2 linked regions of the Arabidopsis thaliana genome follow. The protein of the gene in region 1 interacts with the protein of each later gene in a pairwise test. Each region holds a gene or a part of one and is shown on either strand. Other genes may lie near its edges.

The links.
Region 2: the proteins of COL3 (region 1) and RAP2.7 interact in a two-hybrid assay, tested with the Arabidopsis thaliana proteins (one study listed by BioGRID).

The regions. Positions count from the first base shown.
Region 1 is NC_003071.7:10,562,847-10,569,666, reverse strand, and holds COL3 (CONSTANS-like 3), read right to left. Parts: upstream 2,832-6,820; 5' UTR 2,709-2,831; coding exon 2,130-2,708; coding exon of another isoform or gene 2,046-2,129; exon of another isoform or gene 2,044-2,045; intron 2,027-2,043; coding exon 1,721-2,026; 3' UTR 1,522-1,720; downstream 1-1,521. Other genes in the region: AT2G24780 (uncharacterized protein), read left to right, coding at 3,828-3,986; ARF3 (ADP-ribosylation factor 3), read right to left, coding at 4,706-4,739, 4,855-4,985, 5,162-5,209, 5,585-5,696, 5,835-5,853, 6,430-6,492, 6,586-6,624, 6,743-6,820.
Region 2 is NC_003071.7:12,223,562-12,232,236, reverse strand, and holds RAP2.7 (uncharacterized protein), read left to right. Parts: upstream 1-3,612; 5' UTR 3,613-3,985; coding exon 3,986-4,497; intron 4,498-4,592; coding exon 4,593-4,618; exon of another isoform or gene 4,619-4,646; coding exon of another isoform or gene 4,647-4,686; coding exon 4,687-4,717; intron 4,718-4,801; coding exon 4,802-4,889; intron 4,890-4,971; coding exon 4,972-5,117; coding exon of another isoform or gene 5,118-5,121; exon of another isoform or gene 5,122-5,223; coding exon 5,224-5,268; coding exon of another isoform or gene 5,269-5,375; coding exon 5,376-5,595; intron 5,596-5,670; coding exon 5,671-5,781; exon of another isoform or gene 5,782-5,853; coding exon 5,854-6,069; 3' UTR 6,070-6,581; downstream 6,582-8,675. Other genes in the region: AT2G28540 (RNA binding (RRM/RBD/RNP motifs) family protein), read right to left, coding at 8,643-8,675.

The sequences.
Region 1 (6,820 bases):
TTAAATTTTAAAATAATGGCATACTTAGTTTTATCTCTTATGTATATACTTATTTTAAAAATATTAAGTTGATCCCCGCATATATTTTTAGATCTTGTCGTCACAATATTACATAAAGTTTTTAACCTCTCAAAGGCTCTAGCTTTCAGCTCTTTGTCATTGACACCAACTCACGAAAAACATATCACGCAAAGTATGGAGAAGAATAAGAGGAAATAACAGAGTAGAAGAAAGGGAGAAGAAGAGAGAAGCACACAAATATTTGTTCACCTGGTTCACGGTATTAACGAACCGCTACGTCCGGTTATGATCTTTCTTTCGATCCACATCTTTCCACTATGAAGAAGAAGGTGACTACAAGAGTTATAAGTCAAAGCTTAAGTGGAACAGAGACTTAACTGCTGGGCCACAATAACATTGTTGTGAATTGATAGTGATAATAAAACTAGAGCTTCTTGTGCTAAAGTAAACCTTAAAGGTTGCATCTTGAAACGCCAAACGTGGCTGCTTGAAACACAAGATGAGAAGACTGTCCTAACTTGTGCCAGCCCTTGCAACATCGTGGACACCCTCCTTTATGATCCAAAAGCATTTAACTCAACCCAAGTTCAACTTATATTAACTTGAGTTAGCTTTAAACTTGCTTATCAAGTTCATATCTTCACAGTTTTGATTTGCGGTTTCTGACTTCATTCAAAATTTTATTATGATGATGTTATGTTCCTTTGTTTGCTAAGAGTCTGAGAATCGATTCATTATGAAAACTAGAGTATGCATATGCCAACACTTTTCGAATCATTTGATATGACAATCATTGAAGACGTATGGTCAGTTTTACGCAAACCAATTGATATGAAGTGATATTTCGACACTTTATGAGTAATGACGACGAAAAATGATTAGATTATCTAATACTTGAAAGGGTTCTCCTTCAAGGTTATACCATTTACTAAAAGAGAATTAGTGGTTTGTTATTTTAGAATATGTAGATTTCTTCTTCTTTTGTGTTGCTTTCGTTTGATTAAGTTTTTTCTCATGTTTGAATTTTCATTAATAACTAAATATCTTAATGTTTGGTTTCTTTGCACAATTTTTCTCTTCTAAGGAAACTTGAGAGCAATTACGAGCACATTCTACTTTGATTCCTTGGAATAAGGTTGTTTGGTTCAAGAATGCAGTGCCAAGGTATTCTTTCATCACTTAGCTTGCATTGAAAGGTAGATTGCTTAAGAAAGACAGGCTCATAAGTTGGGGACTGAATATCTCTGCAGCTTGTGTGCTTTGCTCTAACGGTATCGAAACCCACAACCACCTCTTCTTTAAATGCTCTTTCTCTTCAACCGCGTGACAAGTTTTTGCTTCTCGAATCTGGCCTCGTTCACCATCAACGTTGGCCTCCATCGCCTCTTGAATTTTGCAGTCTCGGACACCACCACAGCTGATTGTATGAGTTTGTGTTCTATATGAATGTTAATCTTAATAGCTCAACTCATTTATTTTTGCATATCGATTTCTTACAGAGATTGTAAATCAAAATTTATTAGTTCAACATTAAGTAAACTATATAATTTAGGATACAATTGTGAGAATTAATTCAAAAAACAACAATCTTCTAACAATAACTTAGCCCCTGATTAAATCAGGAAACATTTTAGTTTTAATTATCCTTAATCTGCTATTAACCGATATACTACTACCATGTTTCTTTCACCGGAAAATATCAGAAACTCGGAACAACACCGAATCCGCCATAAACTCCGACGTCTCCACCATCATTCTCTCTCGAATCTGTTCTCTTAGCAAAACGTCCTTTGATTCTCGGCCTCATCTCAGCGTAAGCTTTACGCGACGCATACCTAATCGTCTTCTCAAATTTCCGATTCTTCCTCTTCTCTCTATACCTCAAAACCCTTGCTTCCCTCTCCGCCGGTGATAACTGCACAGCTGGCGTCTCCGTGTTCGTCATCTCCGCCGTCACTCCTCCACTTTCAGGCACCAACGGTACATCTATCGTTCTCGTCGAAACCTAACAACATTTCACAAACTCAAATCAGATCCAAACTTTCAGATCTAGATCTGAAAATTTTCCAGATCCATGGAAGCTTAAGAAGATAGAGAGAGATTCGTACAGTTTGGTTGATGAAATTGAATCCTTGTTGAGAAATTTTGGAAGCAGAGAGATCGAAATTGAAGTAATCTTCGTTAAGAAACAACTTATTCTGCACAGGAACAACTCCGTCGTTACCGGAGCTATTCTCCTCCGACGTTACCTCAATCTTCGGATAATCAAGATCGGAGAACAAATTAGTGATTTCGATTCCTTCTTTAGCTAAAAGCCACGAAGCAGTGACGTCACCGCCATCTTCATCTACGAAATTGACGGAGGAGGAAGCGGATTTTGCTGGACCTACAGCGTCGTAGAAAGGAGTGATTGGTACGCGCTCGTGGCGGCGAGAGAGTGGATTAGCTGAGTGGATATCACGGTCGCACGTGACGCATAACGCAGCGGCGTCAGCTTTGCACGTGACGTGTGCTGGTGCTTGTTCGCATACTTCACATAGCCAAACTCGTTCGTGACGTGATGCGAGTTTGTTAGCTGTGTGGATCTTACCGTCGCAGTCGCCGCAGAGAAACGCGGCGTCTGCGCGGCAGAATAGAGTTGCTGCCGTCGATTTGCACGAATCGCAAAGTCTTGACGACGACGCCATTGATGCTCTCTATATCTCTCTCTACTGTTTTTTTTGTAGAGAGAGGGATAATAATGGAGTCGGCTTTTTTTTTGTATTGACTCTTGGTGTTATGGAAGTGGCGATTGTACCGGACGCGCAGGGAGTGAAGTGGGTCATGGAGATCTGGGAATAGCGAATAGAGAGATGACACGTTAGTGAATCTTAGCCGAATAGTTGGAGTTTACGAGACATTTAGGAGAAGTGGGGCTAATCATGTGAAGGTGTATTAACTTGGGTTCATGTTCTCACGGACTTTCACAAAAGGAATGGAAAGTTCCTTCTTTTTGTCGGCAAGGAAATTCGAATTTACCCATGGTTACTTAATAGTTAATAATTACCGTAGATGCTATGTAGGCCTGGGACTAAAATCCGTTATCCGCGGGTATTCGAATCCGGATCCGTGATCCGATCCGGAAAACCGAATAATTAGGTGCGACGGATCCGGATACGAGTCCGGCGGATCTGGATACGAGTCCGGCGGATCTGGATACGAGTCCGGCGGATCCGGATACGGATCCAGATTATGAAAAAAATCAGAGCCGAATATCCGCATCCGTTCAATATGTCTACATATTTGTATTATGGGCTTAAGTTATATTTGTATCCTGGGCTTAATCAAATACACATTATCAATGTTAAGCCCAATAGTCCAATATTAGCCCACTACGACAAAATGATGGAATTTGAGTTTGTTTGGGACTTAACTATTAGGGTTTCATAACATATTTTTTCTGCCGCCGTGAATGTTTCCTTCATCACCATTTCCTTCACTATCTCCATCTCATCTCCATGTAATCTTCATCACCGTCTCCCCACCATATTCATCTCGGTTCCACCGTCGTAAATTTATGGACGGAAGTTTACTTACGGGAATGATGATACATGGGATTCAAAGTGTCGATGGCGGAGATGAATGAGGAGGAGCAGATTGGACACCGTTAAAGACGAGATCTTGGTGGTATGTGCCTTGCAAAGTCTGATGTCGGGCACACGTCGATCTCTTTTGGTGGTGAATTCAATCTGGTTGGTGAAATAGGAAATTGAATTTGTTCCCAAAAATAAACGGATCTCGAATATCCGCGGATATCCGGTTTTTTCATGGATATTCGAAATCCGGATATCCGAGGTTTACGGATCCGGATGCGGATCCTAAAACTACATATCCGCCGGATACGGATACGGATCCAGATACTCCAAAAAACCCGGATATCCGGATCCGTAGCAGGCCTAATGCTATGTACAGCCTTTTGTTTATGACTAGAAATCGTAATTTTTATTGAGTTACGATAATAAAACAAATTTGTTTAAGTTAATTTGCTCAACACCCGCCATATAAAAGATTCTATGGTAAGATCAAGAAAGAGAGCCACCGTCAAGTTACATTCTCTAAACGCCGAGCCGGACTCTTTAAGAAAGAGCTTCACAAATCGCTTGTGTTTTGTTTTGGTAGCATACTAGCATTATTAGCAGGAAAGTTAATCAAATAGCTTAGGCTAGTATCTTGCTAGTTCTATATATTCCTTGCAAATTATTTTTGCCTCTTTGAAAACATTAAAAAAAAATCTTACTATCTACTAAATGGCATAATAGTGTCAACAATTTTATCATTAATTAAGGAGCAGACAAATTACATAAATTAGGACTTCTAAAACCCCAAACGTTTGAGCTTCTGAATCCAAGTCGGCAAAAACACCACTTGGAACCAATTCAGTGTTTCGTCTGGAATCAGTTCAATATTTCATGTTAAAAAGTGATGATATTACCCCTTATGGGTCTCAATCAAAAATCTGTGTTGGGTTTTTTCTTTCAGAATGAAACAAAACAACAAAAAGAGAATATTAAGTGAACATGTCATTGATATTAACTCTTTAAGATGAAGAACTAAGATAAAAAAAAGATACTAAACAAACCAATAAGTAAAAATGATCAAAGTTACACTCTTGAGAAATGTGACAGATTGGTGTATGACGATGATTTTAGCCACTTCCCGACTTCAATGTATTACTCAACCTGAAGATCAAGATGGAAATGAGAGAAGAATATTTGAGAAGAAATGCATAAAGAAATGGGTTCAGTGTTTCAATAATGGGACCAAGAAAATGGTTCGGTTTCAGAATGTGCTTACCAGTCCAATCCCTCGAAAAGTCCCTCGCCTTTCACAGCACAAGTTTTGAAGATTGCCCATTGACGACTCTTTATCTTATGCAACTCCAAGGCTTCTGTAACAGCCGCATCATCGAGTGCACCGGGAAGATCCTAAATTAAGTCGATTTAATGAAACTCAGACCAAATAGTTATAGATTTTTCATCAGCAAAAAAGTGTCTTGTGCATGCAAAACAAACTAAAGCTTTTTAGCAACAGAAACCAATACAGATTTCCAGATGAATCAGCCCAAACTAATCGGAAGAGCAAACATTTAGAGACTACTAACCTGCTTGTTTGCAAATATCAGAACCACCGCACCTTTCAATTCATCTTCCTATAAAACATAGTTGAAAAGATAGTGCGAGTTAAATGCTGACAGTGGCAGAGGTAAACTCAAGTAAGCATTGTTGCTGAGAGTTTAAGATTAGCTAGCAAGATCTACAGAGAGAAATGATCACTTGTTCTTTCCGTCCAGTACTAACCGAGATACTTCAATTTCAGTATCACCTATTAGAAGGCTAACAATACTTGATATACAACTTACAAGCATCTATAACAAGTCCTAAACAAGAAACTGAACCAATATTGTATTTCCATTCAACTACCGATATACATCATCATCGTTTTACCTCAATTACTTTTGGATGCAAGAAGTCCATCACAAAATAATACAACAGTATAAGAAGAGGAAGCCTCAGCAGTACTTTACCTCTAAAATTGCATGAAACTCCTCTTTCGCCACCCCGATTCTATCTGTATCACTCGAGTCAACAACATAGATCACTGCTTGTGTATTCGGGAAATAGCATCGCCAGTATGGCCTGTCAAAAATACCATTAGAAAATTGGGCAAAACAAAAACAGTATAATCTTGATGGAGCATTTCTGTTCTTCATTCCTTCACAGTAGATGCAATATGTTCATCATATCTAGAAATGAGAAACGAGGTCATTAAGCTACCTGATGCTTGTTTGTCCACCTGTCATAGGAAAGTTCTTGTTAATGTACTGTGTCGCTGAACCAATTTTGTAAAATGCAAAAGCATTCGCATATAACTAACAAGACAGATGTACATACAACACGTGCAAAACAATAATAATAATAAAAACTATAGGAAGAAGATGTGATAATACAGAACTCTTTATCACCCAAATTTGAATACAAAGAACTTCATCTATCTCATCAAGACCAGTTGGAAAAGGTAATAACTTGGAACAAGAAAGTCGAATATAACGACACATACGACAACAACTTATCTAAGGACTCCAAATCAAGGAAAATTCTGATCATGAATTCGTTAATTCATACAAAAGACAAACATTCCAATTATACAAAAGTGACACTGAAGATCTACTACCATGGAGCTAGTCAACTTAGAAAGAAGAACGCAGAGAATCTCTAACTGAATCCATCAGAAAATGGTTTGATTTGGATTAATCTAATGCTTATATAGTGTTGTAGATTTCGAATATCCCTTCCATATAATACCAAAAATCATTTCTACTACTTCAAATTCAAAGTTTAATGCGTTCGAACACATTCTTCGAAAACATACCTAAATCCCAGACCTGAAACTTGATATTGTTGTACTGCACAGTCTCAACGTTAAATCCAATAGCTGCAAAGATCAGATCAAAACCAAAATTCGTAAAATCACGATACATAAACTAGATCCATAATCTATACAATAATCGAGAGATTAGATACATACTCGGAATCGTAGAGACAACTTCCCCCATCTGAAGCCGATCTGGAATCACAGAGAATCAAAAACATCAACGCAACTCAAAAAACGATCGAATCAAAAACCCTAGCTACTAAATATCAAATCTATTACACAATGCGAAAGATTGAGGCAGTGAATTTACAGAGGATTGTGGTTTTTCCAGCATTGTCGAGACCGAGGACGAGGATTCGAGCTTCTTTGTTACCAAAGACGGAAGAGA
Region 2 (8,675 bases), 1.7 Mb from region 1:
TTAAAATCTATCCGAATGGTAATGATAGAACTGTTAAAAATCAAATTTTCAATTGAAAACAAAAGGCTTTGTTTAATAAGGATGGGGTCAATTATATATATTTGAAGAAAACAATTGGTACTGTGATATTACTTTTAAAACGGAAAGTACGATGTAGTACTCATGAAACGCATGAAAACTAAAGATAAGTATTTGGTCGTACCGTTTTTTTGAGAATACTGCCGTCCTAAAATATGGGTACCTAAATAGTGGAGTAATACATAACAATGGTTTTTTAAAAAGAATTTGTAAATATAGGAGTACTGTATATTGAAGAAACAAACAATGTTGTGGAGTGAATGGGATACATAATGATAGGAAATGTCAAAATCATGGGAGCCAACTAATGTGGGAGGATCTTTAGGGAAAATGTGTGGAAGAAGTGCGTGTCTACATTGTGGCTTTTCCCATGTAACGAAACAAATCTACACCATAGATTTTATTGGTAAAACATGTATTTATTAGTTTCTTGTCAAATATTTCAACCACTTGCCTCATTTTTTGAATTATAACATCATTTTGTTTTGGCAAATATATAGTAGTAAGAATTTGCAATATTTTCCCTTCTAATGTTTAAGTTTTTGCTAAAATTAACGAAGATGTGTTTTTAAGACTCATTCCAAAACATTCGGTAAAGTTTTAAAATTTCTCAATAGCACCTTATAAAAACATTTTAACATATTGTAAAAAAAAATTCTTAATTAAAAATTGATTGACTTGTTGACATATTGTAAGAATTTTGGTAAAGATTATTCATTTGTTTCCTCAAATGTATAGTCATCGAATCACAAGTCACAACCCCTAAACATAAATTTTTTCAGCAACTGCATCCTAGAAAATATTATTTCAACAACCGCATCCAATTGAAATAAATTAACCATATTCATCTTCGAACTATTTATGTTAAACAATGAACATTTAATTTTCCACTTGTATATTTCCCTGTCGGCAAGGTGTCTACATTGCTTTCTTTTAAGATCTCCAGATATTTTAATGATACAAACAAGTAGCTTTGTTTATAACTATTCCTTGCATGATTGGTAATTTTAGCTAGGAATCAAATCACTAACGATACAATTATCATAATTTATAAATTATATGTTTTGATAAATGATTAAGCTAGTCTGTTACTATTTGATTAATCCTTTTATACTATCTCTATTTAGTGATTTTTCTCTCTTTTATCAACACATAAATAAAAATGTGACATATGAACGAATAGAGACACAAGTCTCCCACATTAAACTTCTATGCATTGATGATCCTCATACGGTTGGCTATGTCGTGGTACTATAATAAGTATCGAGCCACTAAAGATCAATTGATTGCACATCATATTTCATAGATGAATTAAGCAAAACTATCAAAATAGTCGATTATGGTTTCTCAATCATTAATCAATATAAAGAAAACTAAGTGAACAAACGACCATGCAAGAAAAACAAATAAGCAATAGGCAAACAACTATATGACATCAACTATTGATTAAGCTCGGGTTAAAGTGTTTCTCGTTGTAGCATTTTTAGTATTCAATTTATCCTAGGTTCTAGAGCTAGAAAATCATCCAAATGAAATAATATATTTTTTATGCATCTTTGTACATTGTTGTTCAAGTTTGAGATCCATATATTATTTTCAAGAATAAAAAACTTGGAGTTTAAAGTGTACATGTAATTTTTACTCTACATAATGTAAAGTAACGTTGTCCACATAAAATAAAAATCCATACATACGAGAAAGAGAAAACAGAAGAAAACAAAACTATATACAATACACAAGTTGTTAAATAATGAGAGAATCACGTGTTCTTCATGCACATGTAAGAGACTATGAAATAAGGATAACACCGTAGATAATATCTTATTGATCAAATGAAGCCTAATCTTTTTTTTAAGATTAGCGTTAAGACAGATATTCTCTATATTTGAGTAAATCCCAGCCGTTGGATCACTGACCTATACCTTATTGACCAATCCCAATCGTTAGTACAATGCCGTCCAAGAAAGAGAGCTTGCAATCGCATGTTTTAGATGTATGCTATTAACCCTAAATCCTCAATTTCTCGATCTCAATCTTGCTATGTGGTGGGTGATACATCAATGGTAATTGATATATTATTCTTTTATATATTTGTGGTTTTGTTAAAGAAGGTATCAAATCTGATGCTCTGAAAAAGTGTGATTTTTTTACTGGATTTTAGTCTATGTAAGTATGTATTATGGACAGAGTTTAAACTTGAATCCGAACCATTTAAGACCGGAAAAATTTCATGCTATTCTCAAACTAAAAGAAACGATTAACCATAATTAGATCTATTAAAAGTGGATACATCAATCAAATAATAATATGGGCTGTGATAATATAGTTGTATCAATACTCGGGACAAAAATGCAACACGCTACAATGGTAGATTCAATTATACCGTATGAATGAAAACATTGCATGTGGGCTACTTCTTACGAAGAGACATGTTCACTTCCAAAACTAGTACTAGTCAAATGATTCGACATAACCTGAATACCAAATGCTATATCAAAAATGGCAAATATTCAACTAATAACTAAAAAGAACAATACTTTTAATTTTCTTATTAAAAAAGTTCTAGATAATAACCTTTTGAGATTTGATTTTCGAAGATATTAATAACGGCAGATTACTAAATGCAAAATTACAAGAAAAAAATTTATATTATGTGATTTTCTAGTAAATGTCGATTCTACCGTAGTTGACTACGTGTTGGCGATGAATCTTCTGAGCGAATTTTCGGGAAAGTTTGACAACATCATCTATGTCATCAATCACCATCCCCCGCTTCACTGAGGCATGATCAATGCTCTCATGGTAGCATACAAAGTCAAACATAAGTCATACTCATCACCCACAATTCTACAACAATATGCTTATCATAGGACATTAAAATCAAGGACGAGGAAACTACAAGAGCTAAAGACATCGCGGACAAAACCATATAAGTAGTGGTTAATACAACAACCGTTCACTCATACGATTAGCACTATAATAACACCTCGGTCATATACACTAATCAAAAATACCAATCCACTAATCCTAGACCTATGACTCAAATACCATCTGCCCATGTCCAAGTCCAACATCCCATCCTCTAATGGCATACTTGGACCAATATCCATCAAGCCAAATTGGTGCACACACTCAATCTCAAAACACACCAACGTACATTCCTAATTAACTCATGCAATCAACACTATGTCACCCCAAAACCCAAACCAAACGACGTGAAAAAACATGTAACACACGAACCAAATCACATTTTACTCTTGTTAACATTAACGAATCAACTACACCTACAAAAATCTAATGTAACAAGCATGGGTTAAAAAAAACAATACTGCAGCGATCATTACTCTTGTTTTGGTCGGAACTAAAAGTTGATGTTTCATTTCATGTATTGTATTGTCTCCTTTGAAAACCAAAGCATTGACCAAAAGCAGTACGTACCGGCAAAAAAAAAAAAAAAAAAAACCGGAAACTTACTTAGCCGGTATACCACTGCCAAAAAAGGACCAACAACAATATGTTAAAATTTTATTATAAAGTTATTATACACATTTATAGTTACAGAGAGAGAAAAACAACTTTATTATAAATAATGATCATCCTCTAAAATTGGGTCTGAAATGTTCCCTCACACGTCTCCTTCTATCTTCTTCTCCACTTTAAAAAAAAAAAATATCCGTCTCACTCTCTCGCCGCCGGTAACATTTCCCGGCGACAAAACTTCTCTACTCTCACCATTCCTCCATCGTAATCTCTAAATTCTTCTCCATTCTCTTCTTCCTCCCGATCATCTCGAGCTCTTCGTGAGAGATTATGTGATTATGTAATCGTTGTTGCTGTAGAAGACGATCTCTAACAACTGATTCCTTCATCATCACCTTCGCTAGATTTGTAATTTTCAGAGCTTGAGATGTTGGATCTTAACCTCAACGCTGATTCTCCCGAGTCGACTCAGTACGGTGGTGACTCATACTTAGATCGGCAGACATCAGACAACTCCGCCGGGAATCGAGTGGAAGAGTCCGGTACATCGACGTCGTCAGTTATCAATGCCGATGGAGACGAAGACTCTTGCTCTACTCGAGCTTTCACTCTCAGTTTCGATATTTTAAAAGTCGGAAGTAGTAGCGGCGGAGACGAAAGCCCCGCCGCTTCAGCTTCCGTTACTAAAGAGTTTTTTCCGGTGAGTGGAGACTGTGGACATCTACGAGATGTTGAAGGATCATCAAGCTCTAGAAACTGGATAGATCTTTCTTTTGACCGTATTGGTGACGGAGAAACGAAATTGGTAACTCCGGTTCCGACTCCGGCTCCGGTTCCGGCTCAGGTTAAAAAGAGTCGGAGAGGACCAAGGTCTAGAAGTTCACAGTATAGAGGAGTTACTTTTTATAGAAGAACTGGTCGATGGGAGTCACATATTTGGTAAGTTTTTTTTTTTTGTTGTTGATGATAATACAAGTTTCTCGATTTAGTAATTTTTATCAGTGAGATTGATTCAATTTTTTTTTGTTTTGTAGGGATTGTGGGAAACAAGTTTATTTAGGTAAATTACAATTTTTGTTAAAATTTTGATGATTAAGATTATTGATTCATGGTTGTTGATTTATATAGGTGGTTTCGACACTGCTCATGCTGCAGCTAGGTAATTTTTGGATTATTATAGATAAAAGTTTTGTTTTCGGAATTGTTAAGGTTTGGATTTTGATTAGTGTTTGTGTTTTTGTAGAGCTTATGATCGAGCTGCTATTAAATTTAGAGGTGTTGATGCTGATATCAACTTTACTCTTGGTGATTATGAGGAAGATATGAAACAGGTTTTTGGATATAAGTCTTTTGTTTTGGTTATATGATTGTTTTGAGTAGTTTTTTTTTTAACTGTGTTATCTTCTTGTTTAGGTACAAAACTTGAGTAAGGAAGAGTTTGTGCATATACTGCGTAGACAGAGCACGGGGTTTTCGCGGGGGAGTTCGAAGTATCGAGGGGTTACGTTACACAAATGTGGTAGATGGGAAGCTAGGATGGGGCAGTTTCTTGGTAAAAAGTGAGCAATTTTGTTCTTTAATATGAACTTTTTGATTTTAGAAAGGGTATGAAACTAGGAATGGTGTCTAAGTAGTGGTTAGGTGATTAAGATGCTTGAATTGCAGGTATATTTATCTTGGGCTGTTCGACAGCGAAGTAGAAGCTGCAAGGTTCCTTAATGATCATTGTTTGATAGAAACCTTTAGTAGAACTTCACTTTGTTTTTATCAAAGCCAACATGAAGTTTCTTTCTTTCTAAACATTTTCTTGACAACAGGGCTTATGACAAGGCTGCAATCAACACTAATGGTAGAGAAGCAGTCACGAACTTCGAGATGAGTTCATACCAAAATGAGATTAACTCTGAGAGCAATAACTCTGAGATTGACCTCAACTTGGGAATCTCTTTATCGACCGGTAATGCGCCAAAGCAAAATGGGAGGCTCTTTCACTTCCCTTCTAATACTTATGAAACTCAGCGTGGAGTTAGCTTGAGGGTAACTAACTTTCAAATACCAATCTCTCATGAATTCAAAACGTACGTTTCTTATCGTCTTTTAAACAAACTGCAGATAGATAACGAATACATGGGAAAGCCGGTGAATACACCTCTTCCTTATGGATCCTCGGATCATCGCCTTTACTGGAACGGAGCATGCCCGAGTTATAATAATCCCGCCGAGGTAAAAACATAGAATCAAAGTGAAACAACACAATGTAGTCGCAAGACAATGAAACAATGTTTGTTTTTTCAGGGAAGAGCAACAGAAAAGAGAAGTGAAGCTGAAGGGATGATGAGTAACTGGGGATGGCAGAGACCGGGGCAAACAAGCGCCGTGAGACCGCAGCCACCGGGACCACAACCACCACCATTGTTCTCAGTTGCAGCAGCATCATCAGGATTCTCACATTTCCGGCCACAACCTCCCAATGACAATGCAACACGTGGTTACTTTTATCCACACCCTTAACTTGTAAGGGGACATATGAGAGTTTTTTTACCATCTCTCTCTCTCTCAACACTCTAGTCCCCTTTCAAAAATGTCATTTGGGTTTTAGATTTTTCACATACAATGATCAATTTTTCCAAATTCAGATGAGAAAATGTGTTTTTTTTTACATCAAAATTTGGTTTGTTGAGAAAAAACTTTATCAACTAAATGGTAAAAAAAATGTGTATGTTTGTGGTAAATTTTAAATCTTCTCAAAATGTCTTTACCTAATAAGGTTTGTTTATGTGAAAATATGTTTTTTTGGTAAGAGGACTCTTGAAATTTGGAAGGTACAATTTGTAACAAAAAATAAAATATGAGGATGAAGTTTTGTCGTTTTATGTGAAGGTTTGATAGTATAAGATATTTTGATTAAAATAACACTGTTGAAAAGAACAGTAAAGAGAGATAGTGATAGGTTTTGGCTGCCTCTTCGGAACCCCGAAACGATTTGGCAAAAACATTACATTCTTATTTGTATACATATTCGGATATAGTGCCAAATCTAAATGCTTATTCTATAGTCACGTGTGAAATGTATTGTACTTAACTATTCAGTGAGTCATGCATAATATGGTTTAAACTTTTGGAATAGATTAGATGCTCTGTATTTTCTAAACTATATCAACTAAACAAATAATTAGGAAATATTTTTAGTCAAATGGTTAACGGTAAGTCATTAAACCGAAACGTCCACAAATGACGAAGATCCTAGGATATTTGTAAAAATTTAGTACTTTTTAAAAACAAGGACGAAACATTCGAACTACTTTTTTTTGGGCTACGTTGGTTTTTTGTTATATAGTCAACAAAAAACTTAAAGAAAATGGTGTAGTTGTTATGCCAATTGTCAAGCTAAAAGAAAAATAAGAGATTCCCGATCTTCTGTTCTGTCAAATCAAATCTCTAAGTCTATCTACCGTTCCGGGTAATGTAATAATATTCAGTAAAGATGTCATGTCTTAAAGAAACTAAATTTATTATTCATAATATTCCAAAAATGGCCCTTTCCTATGACTCGTATCCTATGCCTTTACCAGTAATCTAAAAGCTCACATGTTTCCTTCTTTAAACATATCATTATCCTTCTTTTTAAGAATATATTAAGAATACCATTATCTTCAATCGACAATTTTCTGAACACAAAAATACTTTTATGATGAAATGTAATCATCTGATTTACAATATCATTAAAAGTATTGTAGATTTTTTAAAGGCATGCAAGATCATTAGTAATTCACGTGGGTTCGGCTATGTTTTGGCTAAAATGGCTATGTTTAATGTTAGTATAAAAAATCATCTTAATGGCAAAAATACCCGAAGGAAACGTATACCATCCACAACAAGCGGATCAACCAAATTATTTGGCGATATCAATATGTGTAATTTAGTGTAGACAAATTATATATATTACCCAATATACTACTTTCAATTATTATGGGTTCGGATTAGATTTAGAAGTGTTTGATCCAAATCTTACAAAAATATGTAAGGCTTAGTCAAACAGCTCAAAAAGATAAAAAAAAAAAAAAAAACAAGTAATTGTTTAAGCTTGAGTGTAATTTTACCTCAAAGAAACAAATTTCTAAGGGATTAAAACAAAATTATAGATCTATATTTTTATTTTTCCTATAGACGTGAATTGTGGACATGACAGAATCTGACCCAGATTGTATTTAACGTTATCTACGCTCAAGCAAATTGGGGCCAACTAAAAAGATATGGTATAGTTCCTATCAAATTAAATACGATGAGTAATGAATATTTTCTGACCACACCAAATACTTAATACATTGATAGAAAAAACTTATAAAATTGCGTAGGGTATATGATAGTCAAACAGGAACAAGGCAACAAATGCATAAAAGCAAAATAAATACGAATGATGACCTACATTGTCGGAGAGAATCCTTAATATAAACAATTGTATTTTTTTAGTGGCACAAAATGAGACAACGTGAGACGATTGTTAAAACATATTGGGTCCAATCCTTAAAAACATTATGTAATTTATTATTAGTATGTAACAGAATCAAAAGAGGTGTCTCTCTGCAAATTCATAAATATCTGCATTAAACTATATACGATTTTGTTTGGTGTAATAGAATAGTACTAAGTAACCCATCTTACTTTGTTTACTATTCATATCTTTTTGTCAGAACACAAAAGCACATTTAGAGTTATTAAAATAGTGATTATCTTTTCTTTATTGGTAGAAACCATGTTAATTAGTCAACTAATGATTTTTTAAATACAAGTTGTATACTTTTGGTGTTGTGATTTTGATATGGAAGCTAAAAGAAGATAGATCTTATGTTAACCTCGAAAATCCATATTTGACATACTTCAAAACCAAGAGTAAATGTTATAGAATTGCATAAACGAATAAAAAACCTTCCTAAAGCTTTTTTTACACCAACTTTACTACTAAGTAACCAGAAGAAAAGATTTAAGGCCGAGGTGATTTAAGCACGGCTCCTAGACCAAACCGATGATGGTTCCTATCAGTCAGTCCAAAGGCAAACCAAGCTCACAGATTCCGCAGACGGTGTTTACATCCTGAACGTCCCATTGTAACCAGGGAT